4 linked regions of the Arabidopsis thaliana genome follow. The main gene of each other region encodes a partner of the protein of the gene in region 4 in a complex. Each region holds a gene or a part of one and is shown on either strand. Other genes may lie near its edges. The genes, in order: TAF6B, TAF11b, TAF5 and TAF13.

The links.
Region 1: TAF13 (region 4) and TAF6B share a complex: the UniProt entries of both Arabidopsis thaliana proteins name them as parts of the TFIID complex.
Region 2: TAF13 (region 4) and TAF11b share a complex: the UniProt entries of both Arabidopsis thaliana proteins name them as parts of the TFIID complex.
Region 3: TAF13 (region 4) and TAF5 share a complex: the UniProt entries of both Arabidopsis thaliana proteins name them as parts of the TFIID complex.

Annotation. Positions count from the first base shown.
Region 1 is NC_003070.9:20,287,465-20,294,659, reverse strand, and holds TAF6B (TBP-ASSOCIATED FACTOR 6B), read right to left. Parts: upstream 4,061-7,195; coding exon 3,941-4,060; coding exon of another isoform or gene 3,872-3,940; coding exon 3,624-3,871; intron 3,537-3,623; coding exon 3,430-3,536; intron 3,359-3,429; coding exon 3,282-3,358; intron 3,203-3,281; coding exon 3,065-3,202; intron 2,973-3,064; coding exon 2,877-2,972; intron 2,781-2,876; coding exon 2,656-2,780; intron 2,573-2,655; coding exon 2,440-2,572; intron 2,230-2,439; coding exon 2,104-2,229; intron 2,000-2,103; coding exon 1,888-1,999; intron 1,799-1,887; coding exon 1,500-1,798; downstream 1-1,499. Other genes in the region: NHX5 (sodium hydrogen exchanger 5), read left to right, coding at 1-25, 119-194, 296-315, 414-511, 607-716, 843-926, 1,010-1,131, 1,220-1,307; ABCD2 (ABC transporter family protein), read right to left, coding at 4,415-4,624, 4,713-4,963, 5,086-5,362, 5,440-5,681, 6,264-6,492, 6,577-6,741, 6,836-7,162. UniProt on the Arabidopsis thaliana protein: TAFs are components of the transcription factor IID (TFIID) complex that is essential for mediating regulation of RNA polymerase transcription. Not redundant with TAF6.
Region 2 is NC_003070.9:6,934,812-6,940,222, reverse strand, and holds TAF11b (TBP-associated factor 11B), read left to right. Parts: upstream 1-2,556; coding exon 2,557-2,648; intron 2,649-2,802; coding exon 2,803-3,325; downstream 3,326-5,411. Other genes in the region: TUB5 (tubulin beta-5 chain), read left to right, coding at 1-138, 1,159-1,428, 1,508-2,190; AT1G19990 (nucleolin), read right to left, coding at 3,558-3,861, 4,249-4,319, 4,410-4,505, 4,612-4,896. UniProt on the Arabidopsis thaliana protein: TAFs are components of the transcription factor IID (TFIID) complex that is essential for mediating regulation of RNA polymerase transcription.
Region 3 is NC_003076.8:8,674,816-8,684,936, forward strand, and holds TAF5 (TBP-associated factor 5), read left to right. Parts: upstream 1-2,233; 5' UTR 2,234-2,301; coding exon 2,302-2,477; intron 2,478-2,790; coding exon 2,791-2,872; intron 2,873-2,957; coding exon 2,958-3,036; intron 3,037-3,152; coding exon 3,153-3,250; intron 3,251-3,348; coding exon 3,349-3,405; intron 3,406-3,521; coding exon 3,522-3,609; intron 3,610-3,702; coding exon 3,703-3,812; intron 3,813-3,939; coding exon 3,940-4,047; intron 4,048-4,125; coding exon 4,126-4,277; intron 4,278-4,459; coding exon 4,460-4,570; intron 4,571-4,644; coding exon 4,645-4,714; intron 4,715-4,803; coding exon 4,804-4,840; intron 4,841-4,988; coding exon 4,989-5,144; intron 5,145-5,233; coding exon 5,234-5,310; intron 5,311-5,406; coding exon 5,407-5,523; intron 5,524-5,940; coding exon 5,941-6,206; intron 6,207-6,670; coding exon 6,671-6,766; intron 6,767-6,854; coding exon 6,855-6,927; coding exon of another isoform or gene 6,928-6,972; exon of another isoform or gene 6,973-7,186; coding exon 7,187-7,243; and 2 more. UniProt on the Arabidopsis thaliana protein: TAFs are components of the transcription factor IID (TFIID) complex that is essential for mediating regulation of RNA polymerase transcription.
Region 4 is NC_003070.9:577,363-583,833, reverse strand, and holds TAF13 (TBP-associated factor 13), read right to left. Parts: upstream 3,210-6,471; 5' UTR 3,089-3,209; intron 2,765-3,088; 5' UTR 2,751-2,764; coding exon 2,648-2,750; intron 2,557-2,647; coding exon 2,519-2,556; intron 2,338-2,518; coding exon 2,278-2,337; intron 2,191-2,277; coding exon 2,116-2,190; intron 2,020-2,115; coding exon 1,915-2,019; 3' UTR 1,524-1,914; downstream 1-1,523. Other genes in the region: AT1G02670 (P-loop containing nucleoside triphosphate hydrolases superfamily protein), read right to left, coding at 3,535-3,607, 3,704-3,784, 3,867-3,955, 4,035-4,187, 4,309-4,413, 4,522-4,638, 4,817-4,939, 5,043-5,112 and 6 more. UniProt on the Arabidopsis thaliana protein: TAFs are components of the transcription factor IID (TFIID) complex that is essential for mediating regulation of RNA polymerase transcription. May be involved in polycomb repressive complex 2 (PRC2) mediated repression.

The sequences.
Region 1 (7,195 bases), about 20 Mb from region 4:
TATCTTCGCTAGCAGAAACTTTCACGTGAGTCCAGAGCAATAACATCCATTGTTGGATAACAATTTCTACGCTTAAAGTTCTATTAGATTGATATTGATTTGTTTAATGCTTTTCTAGGTTCATTTACATGGGATTTGATATTGCCATGGAGCAGCATAGCTGGTCCCATGTTGGGTTTATCCTTTTCTCTATTGTATCCTCATTTACTGATCGTCAGTGATTGTATGCAGTGTTAGTCAGTGTTGTAAATCCTTGACTTTACCTTTTGCTTCTGCGTTTCATGACTGACATCAGTTGTTTATTGGCGTGGCTAGGTGACTAAATGCTTTTTTATCCTGGCTGATCGCTTCATTATCACCATGGTTTTCGATTCGGATTTACCTATATGTTCTGCAATGCTTTTCTCACGCAGGGCTGTCAATGTATTTGGGTGTGCATATTTGGTCAACCTATTTAGACAGGAGAACCAGAAGATACCTATGAAGCACCAAAAAGCCCTTTGGTATAGTGGTGAGTTGAGCTAATAGCTTTTGTTCTTGTCTCCTGATGCCCATTTTTATATCTACAAACTATTAAAACTTGTACACATATTGGCACATCGATAGGACTTCGAGGGGCAATGGCATTTGCACTTGCACTTCAATCACTTCATGATCTACCAGAGGGTCACGGCCAAATCATCTTTACTGCAACCACAACTATTGTTGTTGTCACGGTAACTTTCGTATTCTCTCCATGAAAAGCATCTATGTTATTTCCAGTGGTAGTATACATAAGAATCAGCGAGAGTTGGAGAATAATACATAGGCTGCGTTTCTTATCCATTGCAGTAATATTTCAGGTTTTACTAATAGGAGGTTCGACAGGTAAAATGTTGGAAGCTTTGGAAGTTGTAGGTGACGATCTTGATGACTCCATGTCTGAAGTAAACTCTCGACGATCTACTCTAATATCTTTGAAGTAAAGTTGTGTATGTACTTTTTCTAACGCTCCCAGATACGTGGTTAGGGCTTTGAAGAGAGCGATCATCAGTATGTCCCTCCTCCTTTTAGCATTGGAGCTTCATCTGACGAGGATACATCATCATCAGGAAGCAGGTTCAAGATGAAGCTGAAGGAGTTTCACAAAACGTAAGAATAAGAGAATGGCTTAGTATGTTTTCCTGAGTAAAAAGCGATATTTGCAATTTTTTGGGACTCACTTGACAAAACTTTGCAGCACTACATCATTCACCGCGTTGGACAAAAACTTTCTGACTCCGTTCTTCACAACTAATAGTGGAGATGGAGATGGAGATGGGGAGTAGCATGGAAAAGATGTGTATTTGTGGTCCAGGCCAAGCTATAATTAGAGTACACATATGTCTATGTAAGATTAACACTGGTTGATTTTACCTCTCGCAAAATGCCCACTATAAAGTTGACGATTTCCAAGACATTTCGAAATATTATATAGATGTATTTATTGTGGTACATACAATTACCATGTCAATAATCTATTACAAGAAGAAACTGAGCTCATGTGTGGGGGTGAACATAAGCATGCTCTCACCAAAATACTCAAAAAGAGGAAAGAGATAGTTGTCGACGTCAGTGCCTGCAGCAGCTGAAGTCTTCGGAGCAATTGTTGAGGGACTATTGTGGTGCCGTGCATCTGCATCTGTGTGGGACTGTTGAGGGACTGTTGTGGTTCCGCGCATCTGCATTTGTGTGGAGCTCATTTGTATAATTCCCCCTACTGCTATCTTCTTCAGTGGTGGTTGATGAGTTAAGTTGTCACTGCTTGCTTTGCGTTTACCTTGGCCGAAGAAAAAAATTATTTAAGAACGCGTATCTCCGTGTTTAGAACGCCAAAAGAAAAAAAAAGAATGAGACCAGATTTTATACTTTGCCTGGGGCTGGTGAGCTTTCCATTTGTCTTCCAGACAGAGCTAGTTGGAGGAGACAGCAGTGTCTCAGATGTTTTAAGCCGTTCATATAGGCATCGACCAGCTGCCACCTATGGAAAGTTAAAGTTTATATGCTCTCCTGCCTGTTTTGCAACACGAGATTGAAAGCAAACAAGTTTTCTAATTTCTGTATCAAACTAGAAAGCATACTCACCATCAACGCTCCATAAACAAGCCAAGCCCCATGCCTCTTAGCTTCTTCCTTCTGCTTCTCAAGTCCCATTTCAGGTAAAAGAAGCAGCAAATACGGCCCTAGGTTTGGGAGAACAAGAAAGCGAACCTAGACAAAGGTATAAAGCAAGAAAATACTTACGGACGACCAAAGGATATATATCTTAAGGTTCAATTGCAGGTTTAATAACTTTATCGAGGATGTCGGATCATGCTACTATTAGTTTTAAACTTATGCTTTCTTATGTAAAAATTCTAGACGCACAACCTAAAGTGCTACTCTTCGTTATGATAATCAAGAAGCATCAAGAGGAAGTACCATATTAAGCCCAAGGGCTACCATCCCTTGAATTGCCCCATAGTGTTGTGGGAGTGCCTTGGTTGGGTCCAAAAAGGTATGAAGCAGTGATCTTGTGACACGTGGCAACAAATTGTGATAAACGTGTCCAAACCTGTAAAAAGTTCACTAATGTGATTGCAAGTTATATGGTTGTATAAGATGCATGAAATCACAAAGCAAGAATGTAACATTAACCTTTTGCACGTTGAAGCAACTGTGCTGGCAGTGAAGTTTCTCAAGTCCCAGTGATTATCAGATGACCTTCTTCCTAAGCGCTTGGCAATAAGGCAAGTGATAATAGACGGCATCAACTGATGCAGCTGAACAGAATACAACAAGTTAAAAGTCAACAGAAGGAGGAGAAGGGAGAAGAGAAACAAAAAAAAACAAAAAAAAAGTGTGCGCACAAAACTTACATATGGCTCAATATGTACATGAGGGTTATGAAGGAGGCTTCTAGCAAGACGCATCAAAGCCAACAAGATTGGATAATTATCCATGTTTTTGACAATCTGGAGAAATTGCAAGCACAAAAAAAGTAGTGAAAATGTGGTCAAGTTAGAATAAAAGTCAAGACTAGAAGTGTTGGATTACAAAGACAAACCTCTTCAGCGATGAAAGAAGTGAAAAAGGGAACTAATGGGTGGAGTCCAGGATCAATTTCCAAGCTGGCGAGTGCTTGTCTAAAGAGGGTGGAGCCAGATTGAGTCAAAGCCCACTCCGTGACTTTGTCAAAGTAAATCTGCATCGAGAGCAAGCAAGGATTATATAGCATTCAAAGAGCGAGGTAAAGACCCAAAAAAAGAAGGGAGTAAAATAACCTGAAGGTCCTTAGAAAGCACCTGTCTAGCAGCCAAGCCATCGTCCTTATATTCCGATCGTTTAAGGTCAGATATGGCTACAAATTGTCATGGAAGAGGGATTAGAAGGAGAAGTAGTAGGTGATGCAAAAGAAGACAAAAGAAATACCTTGGAGAGGAGAATTCTGTGGAATGGAAGGTTGAATACCATCAATTGCCAACCAATGAGAAAACAGATGCATCAGGAGGTGCATTTGGTAGAGGAGCTTCGATAACCTGCACAAGAGACCATGAAGGGAAGCTTAATAACAATAAACAACATTTCACCATCTTCTTCATTCATGGCCAATCAATGAAGCTTACATTCTTGAGCTCGACATCTTTGTCATCGAAGAAGTATAGATCTCTGTTCTCAGGAGCTCTCTTGAACCGCATACTTTTGGAGCCAGAGGTAGGCTATACAAAAAAAAGTCAAAATCAGGGTCAACGGTATGAAATAAAAGAAGAAGAGAGGAAGAGGAAACCTCCAAATTCCTGAAATGAAGAGCAGAATCGACATCATGAGCCATTAAAGTGGTGCGTCGAGCATGACGCATGCATTTGATAGCTTCCTGGAGATTGCGACGACAAGTTAAAGAGGAGATTAGAGGGCAAAAGTAAAGTTGAAGTTGATGATATACCTGCATGACCTCTCGGACGCGATACTCGACATCGGGAGCAAGAGCGGCTGAGACGTCCGGAGAAAGAGTGGAGAGTCCAATGCTCTGAGCTATCACTTCAATGGATTCTTTCGTCACCATCCTCCTTGCGCCTTCTTTCTTTTTCGACTTTGAGCGACTGAGTCGAGTCAGTCGTGTTACATTTTCTCACTCTATCAGGCTTTCTCAAATGGGCCCATCGTTAGATTTATTGGGCTTATGATAAATACTCAGCCGGTTTTGAATTTTTAGCTCATCTCGCGTGTTATTTTTAATCAGAACTTCGTTGCACTCGTATCTGTATCAATCTCTCTATTTACTTGCATCTTCAGTCAACGTCAAGTCTGGTAGATTATATACAAAATGGACACCAAACATGTTTCTTATATGTTTCATGACACCCGTTTGCAGATTTACCTGCTGCTTCTGTCTCTTATGTAATCAATCAGGTTTTGATCAGCTTTCACTTGGCACCTCCTTTTGATTCAATCTACCGTACAAAGAATCTTGGGCATCCACGTCCTCTATTCGCCAGTTACGTTCATTGCTCTTCGGGTCTGCCGTTGAGATTTGTAAGATCTTGTTATGGAATTTCGTTAAAGTCCGGCGGTGGCCAATGCTTATATATGTAATGCCAGCCGACTGGATTTGCTGGTACAGGAACGCCTGGGCATCAAGAGGAATTTTAATGGCTCAACGCTACATGTACATGATATTATTCTAAATGATAGATGAGAGGAGAACCAACAAGTACCTCATTAGCTTCATCCAACGCACTGGTGGATTCATCCAGGAGCGCCAGCTTTGGCTGAGACAGCAATAACCGTGCAAAGGCAAGGCGCTGCTGCTCACCAAGTGAGAGAACACTGGACCACTCGTGTATCGAATCAAGACCACCAAAGCGATCCGCTATATGTCCAAGACAAACCTTCTCTAGAGTCCGCATCAGATCATCTGTTGTCGGCTTTTCATTTCCGTCCTCTCTAATCAGCAGAGGTGGTGAACCTAACAAAATCAACGCATTTTTTCTTCAGTCGATTTGCTTTTGGGTTCTATAATCTGCTTGCATAAACTTAAATGGAGTTGAAAGAAATGGTTGTTACTAGACACAAATTTAAACTGAGTACCGTCAATATTACTGCCACCAGGTGTCGTCTCCTCCACAGTTGCACTCCAGGTAGGATAAAGCAATTGCTGACGCAAAGATCCCAGAACCATATAAGGCCTTTGTGGAAGGAACAATACGTCTCCTCTTTTCCCTGAATTTTCCTGAGTATCAGATTTCTCCTGTGTAAAATCTACCTCAGGATCGAGGTAGAACGTGATTTTTCCTTTCCCTGACCTCCAAAGACCAGCCATTGCTCTTAGCAGCGAAGTTTTTCCACTCCCACTAGGACCCATTATCTGTTAAATGGCATTTTTAAGTAACTTCCAATCTACCAGTCACATGCTTTAAACACAAGTAGTCAAAGTGAACTAACCAGTAGGTGATCCTTGTCATATACATCTGCAGATAAGTTGTGAACCAATGTGGTTCCGTTTGTTGGTGTCTGAAGAGTAAGCTCCTCGATCTCCAGACGCTTTTGGTTCGGTTGGGACTTGATTGAACCATTGGTGTCCAGCAGTGAAGAGTTCATCTCACTCTGATATGTCAGCTCAATCTCGTCCACAGTGTCAGATGGATCTCTGAAGATGTTGTTATCCAAAAGATCATCAAATTCACCTGTGTTGGAAGAAGTCTTGATATTGTTAGATGCGTAAAAGGAGAATCCCAACCTACAGCAAATGCAGTTTTTCATTTAGCCGTAGAAGTTGATTTGCAGAAACAATGAAACTTTGTGAATATGTTGTACATAAGACATAATTTAGACCCAATTTTAAGCAGGAAAGTGAACAGCTGACTCGATCTTTTTGTCTGCCCATCACACTCTCAACGGTTACACCCGCATTTTTTTCCGGGTATTCACTCTTAGATATTATAAACAAAATCTTACTACTATACAGTCTAACTATTATCTATATATTCTTATCAAAATCCTACTATACACCACACTCTATACTGTTATAACACAAGAAAATAACTAACTACAGCGACACACTGCAACTTCTACTCTTCGATATTCTAAACAAAACCCTACTACTAAAATATCTATTTCTCACCATCAGGTAACAGAAATTATGGTGATGTGCATATTCTGCGTCTAATGTTGTTCGGTATTGATCTAAGGTCTTGTGTGATCTGTAAGCAACAAGTAGTATATATATAGAACATTAAAAGAGAGTGCAGAATACATAATTAATCTACCTAGTCGATCAATGACAGCAGAAAAAGAGCTGATAGCTTGAAACTGATAGACAACGAGCGAGAAGTCTCCTAGGATATGATTGAATGCAGACACTGACTGGTTAATGACACCAAACTCAATCTTCCCGGAGAAATACATTGGGGCAACAACAGCAACTGGAAGAATCTGAATGAGGTAGCGATATCCATCGGTGAAGAATTCTAGGTTTCTAGATGCTATCAGCAATTCCTGCAGGTGAAAAAATTGAATGTAATTTATTGTGCAATCTATAGATATATATATAAATGGATAAGAAAGCTCGAGAAATTTTACAGTTAAATTATCAAAAGCGCTTCTGAAACGCTGAAGCAGAAGCTGCATTTCATTCTGTTCGCCTCCATAGAAAGCAATAGATTCAGCATTTTCCCTCACTCGTACAAGGCTGTAACGAAAGTCAGCCTCTTTCTTCTCTTGTAGAAAGTTGAGATTCACTAGTCCCTGAACACAAGAGGGAATGTTAATGCAACAAAGCCAAAATCTGAAGCGGAACAGAATAGAGACAATCACACTGCTTAACGAGGCATTGTTGTACCTTGCCAAGAAAGACACTGATGGCTGTACCGCCAAAGGAGTAGAGCAAGAGAACGAGAAAGAGAGGAGGATAAATGGTGAAGAGGATGTTGCTAAAAGAGATGAGATCAATGGTGGCATTAACAAGCGTCAAAGAGAAAGACAAGGCAGTTCCAGTGAAGGAACTCAAATCGTCAACAAGGCGCTGATCAGGATTGTCGATGATAGACTGAGACTGGATCTTGTAAAAGGTTTGATCTTTGAGATAGCGCTGCAGGTAATATTTGGTCATCCATGATCTCCATCTCAGTGATAAAGTCTCTTTTGTATAATCTCGTAGCACAAAGAACTGCAAAATCCAGGGAAAGTGAACAACATCATT
Region 2 (5,411 bases), 6.4 Mb from region 4:
GTCCTGATAACTTTGTCTTTGGTCAGTCTGGTGCTGGTAATAATTGGGCTAAAGGTCATTACACTGAAGGTGCTGAACTTATTGATGCTGTTCTTGATGTTGTTCGTAAAGAAGCTGAGAACTGCGATTGCCTTCAAGGTACTATATATATCTTTTTCTGAATTTTCCATTATACGCAAATTTTCTATAGTGTTTGATGTCGTGCATCATAATTCGTATATTTACTGGATTTAGTTTGATTCAATAATCATTTCATTCGTAATTTGTCTGACGTCACCGTATCGATAATCGTTTATCACCATAGATCTCTTCTTGTAATATAGTATGATATCTATCTACATAATTAGTAAAATTAGGTCACGGTTTAGTAAGTGTACTATAGTATGTTTTTTTTATTCTTTTTTTTTTTACTTTGATGATCTTGTTTATCTATTATTGGTGTGCATCAGTGCATGTGGGTTCTTATTCAGTAATACGATCAATCAAATCGTCTTATTTAATGTAATTGCAAGACAGCAACGAAATAATTGAAATGCAAGTGCTGTTTTCTGTGGAGTGGGATGTTAGCACTTATTATTGGTAGGGCCAAGCTGTTTTGTATAGTATTGAGATATTTTTTTGTCAAGTTTTTTTCTTCATATTAAAGCTTCAGAGATAAGATATTATATCATTGTGATGTCGTGATCAAAACATTTTCAAGGCACCGTGATTACGGGATAAAAGATGGAGTGGTCCTACTACATCATATAGATTTCTTGGAATTTTGTAGTAAAAAGTTAATAAAAATCTCTTTTGCCTTTAGAGTTTATAGATAATGCTTGTGGAGCCCAAACAACAATCTCACGTGATTCGTTTTTTTAGTTACTTTTGGTCAGGTCTCACGTGATTCGTTTTATACATTGATTATTTAACTTCAATTATAACTATGAGTCTATGACTACTAGTGTGCATTGTTATTATTGGGGAGAAATATTTTTTAACGCATATTGTAGATTCATTGATTATTGTTTTAAAGCATTGTAGATTCACATAAACATTATAGTTGATTTAGTTAGCAAGGACTAGTAACAAGATGTTTGCTTGACTATATATGAACACTTTTTCGTCTCATCGATGGAACCAATACTATGTGAATCATGGGGCTGCATTATTTTACAGGGTTTCAGGTGTGCCATTCGTTGGGAGGAGGCACAGGTTCAGGAATGGGAACACTATTGATATCGAAGATCCGAGAGGAGTATCCAGACAGAATGATGCTCACTTTCTCTGTTTTCCCATCTCCTAAAGTCTCTGACACAGTCGTTGAGCCTTACAATGCAACTCTCTCTGTCCATCAGCTTGTAGAGAACGCTGATGAATGCATGGTCCTCGACAATGAAGCTCTCTACGATATCTGCTTCCGTACCCTCAAACTCAGCACTCCTAGCTGTAAGTACACCCAATTCTTATCCTCCATTAACCCAAAATGTATTTAAAACTAATTCTGATACATTGCATGATGATGTAGTTGGAGACTTGAACCATTTGATCTCCGCAACAATGAGCGGTGTGACTTGCTCCTTAAGGTTCCCCGGACAACTAAACTCTGACCTCAGGAAACTCGCGGTGAACCTAATCCCATTCCCTCGTCTCCATTTCTTCATGGTGGGTTTTGCGCCCCTCACTTCCCGTGGCTCGCAACAATACATCTCACTCACCGTTCCTGAGCTGACTCAACAAATGTGGGACTCCAAAAACATGATGTGTGCAGCTGATCCACGTCACGGACGTTACCTCACAGCCTCTGCTATTTTCAGAGGACAGATGAGCACAAAAGAAGTCGACGAGCAAATCCTAAACATACAGAACAAGAACTCGTCTTACTTCGTTGAGTGGATCCCAAACAACGTGAAATCCAGCGTTTGTGATATCCCACCAAAGGGGCTCAAAATGGCGGCGACGTTTGTGGGTAACTCGACGTCGATTCAAGAAATGTTCAGGAGAGTGAGTGAGCAGTTCACGGCTATGTTTAGGCGTAAAGCGTTTCTGCATTGGTACACAGGAGAAGGAATGGACGAAATGGAGTTTACGGAAGCTGAGAGCAATATGAATGATTTGGTCGCTGAATACCAACAGTACCAAGATGCTACTGCTGATGAGGAAGGTGAGTATGATGTTGAAGAAGAAGAGGAGGGAGATTATGAGACTTGATCCACCAAATCAAACATTTTACTTAAAAGACAAGGAAACGACTCTTGGAAATCTCTCTATTTAAATTTGATTGAAAAACATTGAAAAAATGGGAAATTTGTTTAAATGTGTTTTTTGTTTGAGTAATTTGTTCAAAGAAAGTTTGAAGTTTCCATTTATTTTGGGTGTCTTGTATTTTCCATTTGAGATAATACGTCCTTGCTTCTCAAGCTACTGTGTAGTATATAAATTTTACACTTCTCTCAATTGTCCCACATCGAGTAAATTAGTATAAAGGAAGCTAAACTTTTGCCTCTATAAATAAAGATACTTCATTTCCCACCGACTTTTACATTTGGGCTTCTTAAAAAATAGGCTTGACAATAAATGGCCTTTAACGCAAGGTCTTGTTGTTTTGCTAGTAGCAACGAGCGGGTTACTTGTAACTGCAATTGTCTGAAAGATCAGCCAGTGCCAAGGTACTTGTAATTACAAGTACAAAAAATTGATTTCTTTGAGTTCATGTTCATGTCGGATTTTTTCTAGTGTGGTCGGATGTGCAACAAAAAAATTGGCTGAATTTTGGAGTTTTAAGATCCAAAGATATGTGATTTTCGTTAAGGTTTTATTAAGAATGAAGCATTCGAAGGATCCGTTTGAAGCAGCAATGGAGGAGCAAGAGGAATCACCTGTTGAAACCGAGCAGACTCTTGAAGGAGATGAGAGAGCTGTGAAGAAATGTAAAACGTCCGTTGTTGCTGAAGCGAAGAACAAAGATGAAGTTGAGTTCACCAAAAACATAACTGGTGCTGATCCTGTGACTAGAGCCAACAAGATGCAGAAGATTTTATCACAATTTACAGAGGAACAAATGAGCAGATATGAATCTTTCAGAAGATCTGGTTTTAAGAAATCAGACATGGAGAAGTTGGTACAGAGAATCACAGGGGGTCCGAAGATGGACGACACTATGAACATCGTTGTGCGTGGTATCGCAAAGATGTTTGTTGGCGACCTTGTGGAAACAGCTCGAGTTGTTATGAGGGAAAGGAAGGAATCAGGACCTATTAGACCTTGCCATATCAGAGAGTCATATCGAAGACTAAAGCTCCAAGGAAAAGTGCCTCAAAGATCAGTTCAACGGCTTTTTCGCTAGTCAGAATGACGAGGTTACAAAGTAGTGACATGGACGAAGAGTAACTATCATGCTCTAAACCAAACGTGATTAAGTCTTTGCTTAATAACTAAAGAAGTACACGATAAGATCAGAAACAATTGGCCATCTCTCTCATTACTCTTAAAGAATTCACCTTTCAAGCATTCTACAAATTGACTCCCTAAGAAACGATTACAAATAACACAATGAGATTTCAGTCTTTTAATTCAACCTACTTGGCTCTAGCCTTTTTAGAGACTCTGCTAGCCAAAAAATCATCATCTGAGTCGTCATCATCAGAGTTCTTCTTCCTCTTCTTCGTGGTTGGTTTCGAATCATTTCCCTTCTTTTTGTTTGACAAAGCTTCAGATGGCGACTTTTGTACTTCCTTCTTCTTCACGGTCACTGATTTGGAGTTGCTTCTTGGAGTAGAAGCAGCAGATTTTACTGGAGAACTTAATTTTCCACCCTTTTGCAGTTTCTTCTCAAGAACTTTCTTTGCTTTTTCGGCTGGAAGCAATCCAGACTCCATCAACCTGTGATCAAAACCACAAAAGGGTTTTCAAATAAACAAAGCAATCTAAAAGCAAATATTACACATAACCATCACAGATCATATAATCAATGCTTTGAGTGACTGGTTTGAAAGGACTCCCCTTTCTTACATACAATGTGAGTCCAATTATGATGTTCAAAATTTATGCGAACTAGCTTAAACCGTGTCGCAAAACACAAGAGACCATCGAAAATCAAACGCAAGTATGCATCAAGTCCCAAAAGAATAATTTAAGGTGTAGGACTCAGTTTGCAGATTGAGTGATCAAACACAAATAATCAGATACATACCAAACACAAAACATTAAGTGTAAGTGTTTTAAAGTTGCAGAACAATGTAAGGCAGAGAAAGGAATAGAAGAGCTTACCAAATCTGAGCCATGTCGCTAGTGGGAATTTGTTTGTAAAGTGACTCGTAGAAAATCCTAAGTGGATCTCTCTGCAGAATTGCAAAATCAACAAAAGAAATTCTTCAGACGAATTCAACAACAAATCTAAAAAGCAGAGAAACAGAGCAGCAAAAAAATACCTCATCAGGCTGCTCTCTCTTCTGACCAGGCAAATCATATACTTTTCTTTCTCTCTTTTTCTTTACTTCTTCTTCTTTCTCTGGTTTCTTATTCTCCTATAAACAAAGAGAGAGACTCATAATCAAAACAATGCCTCATCAAATATTTTACCATCCTCAATATTTATACTCAAACAGAGAGAGAAAGAAATAAAAATCGAACCTTTGAGACACCAACAGAAGAATTCCTCTTAGAAACAGGCTTCTTCTCATCGTCTTTATCAATCTCTTCCTTCTTCTTCACTGGCTTAGCTCGAGACCCAGATACAGATGACTTGATAGGTTTGTTATCATCATCATCGTCATCGTTCTCTTCTTTCTTCAATTTCTTCGAACCAGCATTGTTACCGTTCGTGGGTTTCTTCTTCGCAAAGGAACTCAAGCTCTTATTGTCTTCCTCAGCCTCCTCTTTCATCTTCATAGCTTTCACATCCTCCGAAGGTGGCATCTTCTTCTACCAAATCAAAAAAAGTCGAAACCTTTGATGAAATTTTTGTGAGAGATTTGAGAAGAGAAACCGCTGTGTTCCTCCGTCAATTGTGCCCTAATCCAAAAATAAGAGGAGGCTTGGAGACGGCGTCGTTTAAACCCAAAAGCAAAATCATTCCACTGAACCGGACCGAAATTTAGCGGTTTAAAGAAGAAACCGGTTAAATACGAAACGTTTCTGCAATAAGCCATACTTGTTGTATACAGAATCGAAGTTGGATTTGAATTGGTGCGAAGCAGAAAGCTCACTTTCACACTCAGTGATTCGACATACAACACCAATACCAAGAAGCAAATGATCTTATTCAAAATATCAAATCCATACAAGAGGGAATTCTCAGCTATAAACAAAATAAAACCGGAAAAAAAATCTTCTTCAAAGCCGCTTGAAATCTTTGTTGCATTGGCAGATGTTCCGCCATTGCTGTTTTCTTCTTTGGTTAAGCTTCAAGACACAATAATACAGAGGAAATA
Region 3 (10,121 bases), on a different chromosome or scaffold from region 4:
TTTTTAATTAAGTGTAGTTTGAAGATATATTTTTTTTCCGTGTTGTTTTCACTTTTCAATGCTAAAATTAAATGTATTTTATAGTTTTTAATTAATCATATTTTTTTATTGGTTAGATTAGTTGTAATTAATGATGTTTTTATAGAAAAGAAATAAATTAAATAAGATTTGTATATTTTCTTAATTTATGTGCAAAAACCTTAAACTACAAATATTAAGAAACAAAGAAAGTATGATTTATTGTAAAATAAGCTTATCATGAAGATGTTCCGTGCAAAACACATCCTTGAAATAGTAACAGTGAGATAAGATATAAAACATCTTATTAATAAAATTTTGTGATTGATTGAATTTGACTCCCCTGTAAAAAACAACAACTGATTTTAAAAACCATACATAGAAAACTATTTTATAGAACAACAATAAATACTAGTTTTTCACTATATAAGGACTTGATTGGTTCTTGAAAATTATATGTATTGATTATTGGGAGATTTGCAAAACTAGCCTTTTTTTACTACCCTTTTGCAACAATACCCTTTCATGTTGTCCATTTTTAAAAATATCTCTCCCCTTGAACAAAATGACCAAATTACCCTCATCTAATAAAAACATGTAATTGGAAACTGAAATTTTCCCGCCAATTTTTTGGCGCCAAAATATTTTTTTTCCCGCCAAAAAAAAGTTTCCGCCAAACTTTTTTCCAACCAAAAAAAAAAATTCCCGCCAACAAAAAAATTTCCCGCCAAATTTTTTTTTCGTAAAAAATTTTTCCTCAGCCAAAAAAAATATTTTAAAAATCCTTGTAAATATTTTTTAGCGCCAAATAGATTTACAAGGGATTTTAAAAGGATTTTAAAAGATTTACAAGAGATTTTTAAAAAGTTTTAAAAAATTTACAAGAGATTTTAAAAGAGTTTTAAAAGATTTACAAGAGATTTTAAAAGAGTTTTAAAAGATTTACAAGTAATTTTAAAAGGTTTTAAAATCCCTTGTAAATCTTTCAAAACACTTTTAAACCCTTTAAAAATCTTTACAAATCCTATGTAAATATTTTAAAACCCTTTAAAATCCCTTGTAAATATTGTAAAACCCTTTTAAAATCCCTTGTAAATATTTTAAAATCCTTTTAAAACAATTTTAAACCCTTTAAAAATCTTTAAAAGACCTTTGTAAATCTTTTAAATCCCTTTAAAATCTCTTGTAAATCTTTTAAAACCCTTTTAAAAATCCCTTGTAAATCTTTTAAAAACCTTTTAAAATCCCTTGTAAATTACCCTTTTAAAATCCCTTGTAAATCTTATAAAACCCCTTTAAATTGCCTTGTAAATCTTTTAAAACTCTTTTAAAATTCCTTGTAAATCTATTTCCCGCCAAAAAAAAAAATTGACGGGAAAAATATTTTTGAAAACAAAATTTGGCGGGAAATGTTTTTCAAAAATTTTTGGTGGGAATTTTTTTCGAAAAGGTTTGGCGGGAAAATTTTGGCGGGAAATTTATTTTAGAATATTTTAGGCGAAAAAATATTAATATTTCATTTTGTTAACCTAAAACAATTTCCAAATAAGGGTAAAATGGTAATTAAAAATTTAAAGAGAATATAAATAAAAATGGATAAAACAAAAGGGTAGAGTTGAAAAGGGGCATCATGAAAAGGGCATTTGAAAGAATTTTTCTTGATTATTTGATATCCAAAATTTTATAATATATTTTTAGAAAACGAGTTAACCATTGTGGGAGGAAATAACTGACCTTGTCTTATATACAATAAATTGTTGCAAGTGTTTAGTTTAACCATTGTAACATTTGATTTAAGAATTATTGTTTAAATATTTTTAAACTGGGTGTTTTGGAAAGTTATTTTTTTTTTTAAATAAAAGTTAGAAATTTTGAGAAGATAACATTTTTTTGGATAATTTTCAATAATTCTGTAAGAATTAATTACTCAAACAATAAATATTGGTATCTTGTCCCAATCTTTAAGTTGAAATAGAGAATCCAAAGCAAGTAATTTAAAAAGAAAATGGTTATGAGATTTTACATCAAAGTAAGGTCATGGGCTTATAATTCAAAAACTCTTAGTAAATTTTGAATCTGGGCATTTGCCCAACCTGCCACCCCCATAGACGGGCCTGGTTTTAATCATAACTTTGAAATTATTATATTTGGGCCACAATTAGGCCATTGAAACAGGCCCAGTTTTGTAGAGACACGGAATCTAAAAAACTGAAGATGTTTCAGCGACGAGATACAAGTTTCTAGGAGAGGAAATTGAATCGAGAGAGAGAGAGAGAGACAACAATGGATCCAGAGCAAATCAACGAGTTCGTCGTGGGCTACTTGAAGAAGAAAGGATTCAGTAGCGCTGCTAAAGACCTTGAATCTTATCATCACCAGAACAATAATGGTAGCTCCTTCACTTCTGTCGATTATCATAACGATCCTGAGCTCACGAAGCTCATTCGCTCCTTTTCTCAGTAATCTCTCTCCCTATCTCTCTCTCTCGTTTCAATTCTTAATGCGAATTGTGTTTTGAATTTTTGGGAAAGTTTTAGTGTCTTTTGTGAATTTTGAAAACCGTAAGGAAAAATTATGTAAGCTCCAACGTTTTTGAGAATCTAAAAATGAATATAATTCACTTTCTGGGTGAAGTTTATGTGAATATTTCTATCAGTTTATCTGTCAAATTTAAGATTTTGATGACATCTCAGTGGCAAGAAATTAGGTTTTTTTGTATGGCTTATGTAGAGAGAGCTAATGGTAATGAAATGTCTGTTCTTTTGTTTGCAGACAAGAAGATGATCCAACTCGGTACCGTGAAGGTTACAGCAAACTAAGGTCATGGGCGTATAATTCTCTGGATTTATATAAGGTGGGGATTTTTTTTTGTGTATCCCTTGGCTGTTTTGGGTAGAGACAGGCTTAATTGAACTGACGAGATGATTCTAATTTTGTAGCATGAATTGCTTCGAGTGATGTATCCTGTGTTTATTCATTGTTACATGGATCTGGTGGGGAAAGGGCACACTCAAGAAGGTACTTGTCAATATAGCAAATTAGATGTACTGAGTATTTTTTTTACCTTCGGTATAAGATTTTTGGAAACAGTGACTTATGCTACTGTGGGAAATAATACGTCTCTTGTATTCCAGCTAGAGCCTTCTTTAACAGCTTCCGCAAAGATCATGAGATGGTACACTTACGGGATCTTCAGAAGCTTGAAGGCGTGCTTTCTCCATCTCATCTAGAGGTTTATGATAAACCTTATATGGTCATATAATATTGATAATGGATTTTTTTTTTTTTTTTTTTGGTTATTATCTTTCTTATGATCTTGGTTCTTATCAGGAGATGGAGTTTGCTCGTTCTCTTAGAAAAAGCAAGGTTAACATCAAGTTTTGTCAGGTAGACTTGAGTGAAAATTGACTAGTAGCTGTAATAGGCAACTGCTTCGAGGTTTCTGGTCTGATTAACTGAATTCCGTGACTGCAGACCTCTAATATGCTTACTGAATGTTGCAGTATTCATATGAGCTGTTACTTCAGTATCTACATAGTACAGTATCGACTTTAATGCTTGGTATTATTAACGAGCACATCAATTTCCAAGGTAAATGTGTTTCTTTCTCTTATATATGCGATAGCTTGTAGCAGTTTTTTGAGTAGAAAATTGAATCAATTGGTCATGGATAATTTGTTGCAGTCTACTCGGGACAGCCTACTTCCTCATCCGATGACATAGAAGCTGTCACCATTGTCGGGAGTTTTCAGGACACTGCTAATCACATTAATCAAAAAGAAATACAGTGGGGAGTACGTATTTCCCCTAAAGTTTCTTTTCTCTTCTATTTTTCCAGAGTTATAACATGTTGATGCCTCATCCCAGGGATGATAACATATTTGCGTAGTTAATAGCTACATATGCATTTTTCTTTTACAGTTGCTTGAAGATTCACTAGAAGATCGCCTTGAGAAGACAGGAGGTCTGCTGTCTGATTCTGAGAAGGGACAAGGAGAAAGTAAAGACGGGGATGCAGATGATAGTAAGGTGATACATAGCTTCAACTTAGTCAATAATTTCTGAACTGAAATCCCGTTTTTACTCGTCAATTGATTCTGTGTACAGAAAAGATCCACTGAAATTGGAAAGCAAGGCTCTTCCTTAAAAAAGTTGAAGAAGGACAAAGCGGGTAATGCAACAGCAAAAGTTGCACGTCTGGAGACCATTACGGTGTCACCGGCGCCGCGTGTAAAACCAGAACTTGCCTTGCCAGTAATGTACTTTCGAATCCCTTACCCATTTTTTGTGTTGGGATTTGATTAAAAAGGAATGAACATGTGATATCTATGGGTGATGCATGATTGTTTAGGAGAAATGAACATAGTCTTTGTATTTGTCAAAGACTCAACCTCCTTTAACATAAATCAATTTTGCTCCATCTCCTTGTTTTCTCTGTCAGGTCCACAGATGTAGAGCAATCCATCCTTGAAGACCTTAGAAACCGTGTGCAGTTGAGTAGTGTTGCAATGCCATCAGTCAGCTTTTATACATTTGTGAATACTCATAACGGGTAATGTCCACCTCTCCTCCTAATTTTAACTACTTATTTGCAACCTTGTTACTCACTCTTTTATTCTCCCCCAGGTTAAACTGTTCATCTATATCTCATGATGGATCTCTGGTTGCTGGTGGGTTCTCAGATTCTTCAATAAAGGTATGTTATTCTCGGATGGTTGGATACATTTCCCTTTTTTTGTTTTCTTCCTCTCTTAAATGATGCCAAGTGACAATTATGGTGTTCAGGTCTGGGACATGGCTAAGATAGGACAAGCTGGCAGTGGTATGTTAATTCTCTGAAAAATTGTATTGACATCCACGTTTAAGAATGATATTTATCTCATACGTTTCGCTTGTCATTTTTGTTGATTTCTCATAATGATTGTTTTTGTTTCCATGAGAGTTATAGACACTAAGCTGTCTGGTTCCAGGTGCTTTGCAGGCTGAAAATGATTCAAGTGATCAAAGCATAGGACCAAATGGCAGAAGAAGTTATACATTATTACTGGGTCATTCAGGGCCAGTTTACTCAGCCACTTTCAGTCCCCCTGGAGATTTTGTTCTATCTTCTTCAGCAGATACAACAAGTATGTATCTGTCCATCACTTTACAAATCCATACACTGGCTCATTAGTTCAGACTTTTTTAGTTACCAACCCTGTATTCATAAGTGCAGTACGACTGTGGAGCACAAAACTAAATGCTAATCTCGTGTGCTACAAGGGTCATAATTACCCTGTATGGGATGCCCAGGTATAGTTAATTCAATTTAACCCATGTTTCTTACATAACCTGCAATTTATGGTGGCTGGACATGTATATATATTATATACTCATTTTATGGTGCAGTTTAGCCCTTTCGGTCATTACTTTGCAAGCTGTTCTCATGATCGTACTGCACGGATTTGGTCAATGGACCGAATACAACCTCTTCGGATAATGGCAGGGCATCTATCTGATGTTGATGTGAGTGTCTCCCTCATCTTCATTGTTTGGGTTTAATTTGCAAAGGTTAAATCGAAGGGACCAATTGAGTTGTTAATTAAATGCATGGATAAATTTCTTAAAACGTTTTATTATGCAATTGAAGTCATTAATTCACCGTATCAATGTTTACAATGGTTTATCTAACATTTTACATTGTTTATTGACTTAGATTAGTACCCACTTGTTATTTTAACGTGACCCTGACATTCATAATTTAAGAATCGTCCAGTTTATAGTTGATCCAAAGATTGTTAGCCAATACGCTTAAAGTCATAAGGTTACGATGGATTACTTAACTATTTGGATTGACATTAAGTCAGATCAGTAACTTCAATTTTTCTTTGGATACCTATTGATGCGACTTTCGTTGTACTTGTCAAATGCATTTGATTTCAGTGTGTACAGTGGCATCCCAATTGTAACTACATTGCTACCGGTAGTAGTGATAAGACGGTTAGACTCTGGGATGTGCAAACTGGAGAATGTGTCCGGATATTCATTGGGCACAGGAGTATGGTTTTATCATTGGCGATGTCTCCAGATGGGAGATATATGGCTTCCGGTGATGAAGATGGCACTATAATGATGTGGGACCTCTCAACTGCTCGCTGCATCACTCCTCTCATGGGCCATAATTCATGTGTCTGGAGTCTCTCATACAGGTGAGGTGTCAAGAGAAGAAGAAAATAGCTTTATTTGATCATTCAACTTTTATTGAGTTAGTAATACACAATGAAAACGTAATATGATCCTTTTTTCAGCCAACTATTGGTTTTGGTTGATATGCTTTATCATCTCTGGAATTTCTTCTAGGACAACATTTTTTAAAGGGTAGTTCAGGGTTATGATATAGAGTGGTATGGTGTGGCTATTTCTATTAATTCTACAGTGACTTACTACTGAACTGGTAGATTTTTCTATATCCACGCACTCTTGTGTTAGCTCTAACATAGGGTTCTTGTCATGGGTTGTGGAATGTTGTATAGGCCTAATGTGTTGGGTCGTTAATGGAATGACTGGTTTTGGTTGGTAAAATCCACTTGCTTGGAATATTGGAACCGTAAACTCCACTTTGATAAATCATAGAACTACTACAATTTATGACTAACCTGTTTTCCTGTTTCAGCGGGGAGGGCTCTCTTCTGGCTTCTGGATCCGCAGACTGCACAGTGAAACTGTGGGACGTCACTTCAAGTACCAAATTGACAAAGGCCGAGGAAAAGTGAGTTTGCTCTTTCAAGTTGTATTGTTGTTCCCTTTGAATGGTAGATTGTTTTGTTAAAAACGATTTATCATTTGTGATTGATCAGGAATGGAAACTCGAACAGATTGCGCTCACTCAGGACTTTCCCCACCAAGTCCACACCAGTTCACGCTCTCCGGGTAAGTTATGCTTTCTTTACTAGAATTAATTCCACCATTCTCTAAACACCGTGGTATTTCTCTCATCCCTAAGTTTATCATGTTGTGCTTGTGATCAACACATCCCGATAATGAGTGACCAAACACTTGATTAGAACCAAAGTTTCAGGGTGTGTGCCAAACAGATTTTATCCATCAGTATCATATAGAACCTTTCCTCTAACACCTAGGATTCGTTGATCGAGGCATACACTAAAACTCATGTTTTACATTGATGCAGTTTTCTCGGAGAAATTTGTTGTTTGCTGCAGGAGCGATCTCTAAACCCGCAAACTGATCAAAACAATGGTATCAGATATTGATGCTTTAACATTCTTACAAGCTGTTGTAGATCTCAGAAGAAATCAGGTGTAGAATAGTTATCTCCAAAGATTATTTGCTTGTGGCTTTTGTTTCTCATTTCTAAATCCCAAAAATGTTGAAGATTCTTTTAATGAACAACTACTCCTGCTTATGTATGCCATGTGTCCCAATCCAGGAATCACTTATCTTCGACTTGGAGCAGATTTACTTTAAGCATGTCAAAGCCACATTCTTCCTTCTAATAAACACCCTAGTTTAAGCATGTCACCTCTATCATGAATCAAAACCTACTCGAAATGAATAAGGCAAAGAACAACAACCAAATATTCTCAAAATTTATAACGTTAATAAAATAGAAACATGTAATGAATCTCCCCAAAAAGACATCGTGTGTCGAGAGAAATCTTTCTTAAGACAGGGTGGGTGGTTATGTGGTATGTTGTGAATTATGTTTTTTCTTAGAGAACATATTTTTTAGAAACTTTTCAGATACTAACATATTTTTTATTTTGTGAAAACATTTAATTCTCCTAATTTCTAGAGACGGTACTTAAATAAATAGAGAGCTGACGACAAAAATAAAATAAAATTGAGAGCTGAAGAAGAAAAGAAAGAAAAAAACATGTTTTGAAAGACATTTGCATCAAAATTTTGGATGAGACATAAAATCTACCAAAAGTAGATTTGGTTGTGTGACTAGACAATTGTCTACATTTGGAATTATATGTGGGAATGTGGTACTCGTTATCTTCTTATATGAGATCTCTCCCGGTCAGTTTTCTCATTACTTTTTCGAAAACAAATAAAGTTAACATGATGCATATCTAGTCCATTTTTACCATATTTTTATACTAGTGTGTGCATAAAAATAATCTTGGACAGACTCAGAACTATATCATACAATATTATTTGGAAAGTATATTTTAAATGTAACCTTATCTTTTGTAAGTAATTATATAGATATGCAATTAGAAAAAAAAATTTAAAGAGTAAATTAATTCATCTCTTTAAGAATTAAAAAGTCAAATACTAATTTAATTAATTAAACTTAATTAAAAACGAAATACATTATTAATTTCCAAAAAAGTAACCAATTAAAATCAACAAATTGGATTTGATATCTAAATTATCATATTAATTTTTTTATTAATTATTATAGTTCACTTCTCATCTTTATATGATTCTATTTTTGCGAAAAATAATATCATCGCTATAAAAAAATAATTAGAATTTTTTCGCATATGCCATAATTTAAATTTTTAAAAACGAATATAAACTATTCAATACATGAAACAATATTATAACGGGTCAAAAATAGATTTAAGAAAACTTTCTACTGAGTACTGGGTCATAATATGAATATTTATATTCAATTTCATATATATTGTTTTGAAAATTTATAATCTTATATACTACAATAATTAATAACATATTAGATTTTTTTATGTGTATGATGTGATTCAATTTTTAATACAAGCTGGAAAATCCTAGAATTGACGGGTTTAGATCGATATTAATACAAGATGGTATACTACAGGTGAAACTCTAAAATTAACAATCAAAATACAAGTGTATAATTTTAAACACTAAACAATATAAATAATATCAACAAAACATATACAACTCGTAGTTTATTATACATTTAAAATCAAATAAAATAATATCGTATATTTATAATCATCTTTACAATAAAAGTTTTTAGTTTAACTAAAATATAAGCTTACATGCGGTATACTGCAAGTTAAAATTATAAATAAGCAAATTACCATCACGATGTTTGTACCTTCTCACATACACACCTATCAAAAACTTAAAACCTTTCAAGACCTCTTGGTATATTCAAATTAGGATTTCTTCATTCATGGAATCATTCTTCCAAGGGTTTTAGGATGTCCCATGAAATGATTTTGGCAGAAGAGGATGTAAAACTTTTCGAATAAAACGTAGACAGCAAAACATATGTTTTTTTGGGAGTTTTTAGATAATTAAATCAGAGAATGGGGCTGGGCATATGAGTAACCTATTCAAGTTCGGGTAGAACCCGTTCGGGTAGAACCCGTTCGGGTTTGGGATTAATGGGTATATGATTTACTACCCAATAGAATAATTCTAAATATTTGGTTCTGGTTCGGGTCGGGTCCATTTGGGTTTGCGTCAGTTTGGATAAAAAGTTTCAGGCCCTAAAAATACCCAAAAAAATTGAAACGGGTATTTTGTATGTAGATAGTGGGTCTCCAAACAAAAAAAACTTTTAGATTTGTTAAGTTTTAATAAATTTAATTATATTTGAATATATTTTACTAAATTTTGACAAACATAACACATAATTTTTGAATAGTTTAGTTGTTTTGGATATTTAGGTCCAAAATTAATTGACATATTTAGATTTATAATTATAATTTTAGATAATTAGATTATATTACGATTAAATATAATTAATATTTTGGATATTAAATTAATGTTTGGGTTTTTGAATACCCTCTTTGGATAAAGGGTAATTTCTGGACCAATCGGATATCCACGGGTTTACTAAAACTCTACCTAATAAGGAAATTTCCTAAAATTCTAACCCGCTCTAACCCGGTTTTTTGGTTCGGATAATGGATTGGTTATCGGGTCTGTTTTTTCGTGAGCCCTATCAAAGATAATCTAATATAGGGCCCAATTAGGTTCACAAATATAACCAAAACATTATACAAAAACTAATTTTAAGTTAGGCCAAAAATTAGATCTTTTAATACAAAGGAAACATGTTTCTTACTAGAACAACTTGTATACAAATTTTACACATTTACTTAAAATTATATATGTTGTATTTATTATAAAAATAATATTTTTAAACAAATTCAATC
Region 4 (6,471 bases):
CACGAACCAAATCCCAACAACTCACAAGCCATACCCTTCAAGCTAACCCTTGACCTCTCACCATAACTAAATGGAAAATTTACCTTTACCAGATCACGAACGTCAACTTTCTTAACCACTACTCTAACTAGCCCACCGAGCTTAGCGACAGTTTTAGCAATACCTATTCCTACAAAAACAAACCTCTCATCACGAAATAGATCACTAAGGCATTCGCCGAGATTGGTATTTTGTTTCATATGAAGTAGTTGGAGTATGAGGCATTTGGTTTTGATGCATAGTTGAAGAGTCGAGATTTTTGCATCATCTTGAGGATTGGTCTTGGAGTTTAGAGAGATGATCACCGTTGGTTCATCTCGGTAGGTTAATCGTATGGCGAGGATCCAATTCTTGGCTATGGAAACTTCATTTGTCACCGTTGTTTCTATGAGTTTTTCACGAAATGGAATCAACTGTGTAATTGTTACCATCGCTCAGTATGATTTTTCACTTACGCATATGTCCATGCATAATATAAACGGTTGGTATTATCAAAGTCTTCAATTTTCGAAAAGAACTCGATTCAATGAATTGGTCAAATGTGCTATTAATATGACCAATTTCCGATTGAAAACATTGAACATAAAATATTTAACGAGATCTTTAATCTGCAAACCAAATTTAACATTCCCCACAAACACAAATAGAATTTAGTAGATATACTTCATTCTCCTATTTTCTCATTAATGAATTCAAATACACTCACTAATTACAGAAACAAAAATGAAGAAAAAGTTAAAAGGAATTAAATTAAATTATAATACAAAAACCAAAAATGACCAAGAAATTAAAACCTGAATGATGATGACGTAAACTTGATAGATGATACGAACCATAATTAATAAGATCATTAATGCATCACTATATATCCCTTTGGCTTTGCAACGATCAGTGTAAACCTGATTTTGCATCTTCATTATTGCATAGAACCTCAGCTTTCTCATCAATCATATCGTCTCCTCCTTCCACATCACTATAACATTCATCTTCTTCCTCATCAATATCATCATCATATAAGGACATGGCTGATCCATATCCCGAGATTCCTGATGATGATGAAGATGAAGCCGCCGTGAAAACCTCCATAGTCTCTGATAAACGACCCTCGGAATCATCATCATCTTCATTATCATTATCACCATCGTCTCCTCCCATTTCTGTCGCTGGCAGAGGAGGAGGAGCCGGAGGGAGAACAATTGTGTTAGTAAAAGTTGACGATGGCATTATCGTAATTTCGAAACGGAGTTTACGTACGGACTTAACGACTCGCCGCCAGAACCTGGTGTTGAAGGGTTTTCTCCCCGGCGGCGACGAAGCATGAACATGACGACGGAGAACATGTGCATCCCACGTGATGACTTTTTCTTCTTCATGCTCGTGTTGTTTATTTGCTCTATCTCTAATTGATCACAATGATTTTCTTTAGTTGGTAATTGATCACCATTCTTATTTATTGTTTCCATGGTAAAATAATGAATCAAAATATCAGAAAGATGACGAAAAATTTAGAGAAAAACAAAAGTCTTATAATGATGACTAATTTTATAATTATTGCGGTAATTAATTTAATGAAAGAAACAAAAATCGGGTGGTTATTCTAAATTTTTAGGGTTTCGAAATTCCTGACTCAAGAAAAATTAAAGGTCGTCCGTAGATATATACGGGATGCTAGATAATGGGCTTTCTTCTAATGGGCCTACATTTAATATGAGTCGGCCTTGTGCAAGATTTTTTTTCACCTTTTTTAAGTCAACACACTTTTTTTTTGCTACTGTGCTTCGAATTCTGATTACAACCTAAAACGCTGTCCCTAGTCCGGCATCCATGAGGTTCCTCTTACCTAGCATTTGTTCCTCCCGTTGAGGAAAAGCAAGATCAATCAACGAGTTCCTTTTCGTCGACATCAAAAGCTTTGCGTGCTTGTTTCAGCTCTTCCTGCATCGCCAACAGTTCTCTACAGCGGTTCAGTTTTGGCAAATCCTGCATAAATCAAAGACGCCAAAGTTTCGGATATAGAATACAAAACCATAAACCATCTCAATCATCGATTGTGTACTTTTTAAAAAGAATTTTTACCTTGCGGATAAGATACAAGAAATCATCAACTAGAAGTCTTCCTCGCTTTGAACCAATTTCTTGAGCTTTATGTGTCTGCCATTGAAACATCACTTGTTAGCTAATATCTCTCCGCTTGTAATGTAAAACATGAATCATTCACAAAAAGAAAAAGCTCACTACCAAATCTGTGACGTATTCCACAACAATGTCTTCTACAAGCGCCACAGACTCTGGAAGAGGCTAAATACAGAGGAGTTTTGGATCAGTTTCAGGTGGTAAAACACTAAAAGATGTTACACGACCAAGAACCCTTTAAAGCAAAGATTCTCTACCTAATTCGTTACTTGTATTGGAATGAAACTATATCTACAAATACGGTTCATATGGCAACAAAATAGTAATGAAGAGGATAGCGGCTTACGTTTTGCTCGTCGCCAAATCCATACATCATATGCTGCACTGAAAAATCAACAAAAGCACCAAAACCATTGTTACCAGAAGAATCACAAAATGAAGAATACAAAAATCTGGTTTTAACTAAAGACTTTACATTCTTTTTGAAAGAGAGTTTTGCGCTTTTCCTGTGGCTGAGAAGTTCCCGCAGCTTTCGATTTAGACGATGATGACGCCGCCGCTGCTGGTGTGTTACTCATCTCTTCTTCTTCTTCTGATAATCAAAATCCAGGAGAGCAAAATAATAGAAAAATAAGTGAAATTCCTCTACCGACAAAATCCAATTGAGTCAAATACTAACCCTAGGTGAAAATTTTCAAAAAAGAAAAAACAGTGTAATCTCAACTAGAAAATGAAATTCCGAGCCTATATTCTAGATTTCTACCGCAATCAAAACCAGAGAGCTACCGGAAAGTTGTATTCCGGTACAGTACAACAACCAACGGAGTTAAATCGAATAAGGTTCTTTATCCAAATATTTGTCGTCATGGAAAAGGAATGAAAATTGAAAAGGGAATAGTGAGAGCAGAGAGCTCACCGTAGATTGATCGACGGGAGTAGCAGAGGTGGTCGTTGCAAAATCGGCGATGAAGATGATGAGAACGAAGAAACGGGGACTTGTTCACTGATCTCTCTCTCTCTCGTAGAAGAAGCACATTGCATTACATACGAAGTAATTGGGCTTAATAAATAGGCCCATTTATATTAAACCAGCCCATAATCTAAACCAGAAACCCGTACACTAGTCGACCGACATTGTAACTAAGTTCTCACGGTATGGCTCAAACCGGCCATGGCCTCATGCTCAATATTCTTCGGGAGAAGGAAAAGTTTGTGATCCGATTCATATACAATCTATCCGGTGCTCATCATATTACACAAGTATGTATCAAATCTTTTAGCTTGAGCCTAATTTTGTCCTGTCAAGACTCTTTTTTCTATCTATACAAATTTTCTATCATGTTCTTCATCTACAAGATTTGGTTATGCGAACAGGGACTTGATATCGTCTTCTCCCAGCTTTTGTACAACGGCCTCTTCAGAGTCACCTAACGTACTGTAACAAAGCAAATATGTCTTCATATAGGCTTCATACAGTTGACAATAAGAAACCAGCAAAGTTGAGAGAAGCGTATCGTTTAAAATAAGAAACCTTTCAAACAAATCTTCCTTCTTCTTTTGAAGCGTTAGTATCTTTTCCTCTACTGTTTTCTCCATTATGAATCTTACAACCCTGTCACACAACCAAATGTTTCTTCTTTCTTCCCCCACCAAAACAACATACAGTATATTGAAGGACAACTCAAAAATATAACCTGACAGGCTTGCACTGTCCGATCCTATGTATTCTGTCCTGTGCTTGCCTCTCAACCGCTGGGTTCCACCACGGGTCCATCATGAACACCTATACAATCAAACACCCGAATGTCAGTGAATAAAACATGTTCTAGGAGCAACTGTTTTATAAGTTGTACACTTCTTACATGCGAAGCGGCTGTTAGATTTAGAGCAACCCCTCCAGCTTGCAAGCTCATTAATAAAACTCTGCAATCTGGCTCTTCTTTAAAATTTTTGAGTGCAGCATCTTTAGCTGCCTTGGACATGCTTCCCACCAGTTGAACACAGCTAACCCCAGACTGCGTTGTACAAAATGAGTCAATCATTTTTATTCAATGTCTCATTATGATTAAAGAGAATGTTAAAGGAGCACAGATATAGTAGTAGTAGCATTTTGTAGTTGGTTGCGCTTGAAATTACCTTCCCCAAGGCGTAACTTATCAGGTCCAAGAATGATGTGAACTGGCTGAATACTATTGCTTTGGCAGACCAATCTCTTTCAACCATGAACCTGATTTCTTCTCTCTGCATACAAATTTTTTTTATCACCAAATGGTTAGATAAAGCCTCCAATCTCCAAAGAAACTTTAAGCGTGGGAGAGACAGAAGCTGTAGATCTCAAAGGGCACATACCAAAGCCTCAATCTTTGTACTTGTTTTAAAATCATCGAGGTTTATCCGATTTAAAATGCTAGAGGCTCTAAATCCTTTAAGCTTTGTCTTGCTTGCCTGATGTTCACTAGAAGTCACCTTCAAAGTAAGAGAACCAAAGACATATTAACCGAACAAGTTAAGTCCAACATTAGTCATCCGATGATTCTTTAAGAAAGTGTAAAATGGTGGCAGCTATTTCCAGAAGATACAGTTACTGAGAAACAAGAGTCGAGATAGTATGAAATAGCAACAATATATCGACTGGAACACTTACAAAGTAGTCCTTGGAAGGGTCATGGCCGAAACCACATTCTTTCTCATTTTTGTTCGCATCAAGCAAGTTAGCGTTAGCGCCACTAGGACTAGAATAACTCACCAGGTATGGATGATCAACAGCCTGAAAAAATTGCAAGAAAATGCATCAGAAATCTATATACCTATATCATCCAAAACATGCACTGGCTTGTAAATAGAACAACAAAACTATCGATACCACTCACTTGTCTCAGTCGGATAAGAAGACCAAATATATGTGCATAGTTATTCATCAATGTCCCAGCCTGAATATACCTGCAGAAACAAATGTACATGTCAGATTTAATAATAAAATTCAGTTTACACAAAGCATGGAGCAGAAACCAGTGAAAATCCATAGAACAAAAGTAACTTACCCATCAAATGTTGTCTTGCTAACTTTGTATAGTGATTCATAGAAATCAGCTTCTACTACACTTAGTGCATCTCGCCTCAGAGAGATCTAAATTTATATGTAGAGATCAAGCTCGGAAGCAACTATACCAAGCTTCATTTATATCAGACAAGGGAGAGAAAGGAACATACGATTCTAGAAGGAAGAGCAAGGTCAGCTGCCCGGCCCAATTTAGTACGTCTTAGTAGAATGTCCTTTAGAACATTTTGTTTAAGGAATATACAGGCTCTGTTTCTCCGTTTGTCCACATTCTAGCAAGATTGGAAAATATAAAAACCAAAGAACATAATGGTGATCCTGCTTTTAAAATGTTTTTAATAATGGCACCTCAAAGTTACCTCTTTCCACCAAGAGATGTGTTGATTTGCATTATGAGGACAGCTGGGACATTTTCGATGCGCACTGCAGTCACCGCCAAAGCCCAAAGGCAATGGACAAAGGAAATGAAACAGCAAAGATTGTTATGAACTATCAAACAGAAGTATGGGAAAGGAGAAAGTAACCAGGAATTGAGAGTGGTAAGATGTTACCTCCGATCAAGAACTTCACAGTCACATTTCTTGCAAAAGTAATATGAGTATGGCGAAACGCGAAGGAAGCGTATCTGGGACAAACAATCAGCAATGTTGAGATATCATTACGTGCTATAGAAAAAGTTGAGGAAAGAGTAACTAACCAGGGAGTAGAGCTCGTCAACATCATTCTGGAGAGGGGTACCACTCAGAGCCCATCTGTAGGTCGCCTCCAAAGCAAAAACAGCTTTGGCAGTGCGACTACTTCTGTTTTTGATATCATGAGCCTGATATGAAGACAAACGGGAATTATATCAAATTTGCAGTGAGCTTCCCCTGAAGGATAAAAGATTCACAAAAAGCAAATTTGCAGTGAGCTTCCCCTGCTGTGGTTTACTGTACAATAAATCTCACAGTCCCCTTTCCTTACATGCTTGAAAATGGAAAAGAAGAAGAACCAGCAGGTCTTGGTACTGACCTCATCGACGATGATACGATTCCACTTAATAGAGTGTAAAGGAGACATTGTTTCGTCCACTCCTTCATCCTTCCTATATTCATTCTCAACTATGGGAGATGTTGTCAAAACAAAGTCGTAATTCATTAACTTTTGAACATTCTTGTCTCTCTTCGGCCCATGGTATTGAAGAACCCTGGTGCTTCCCGGGGATGTCAACCGAGAAATCTCATCTAACCACTGAGAAAGAG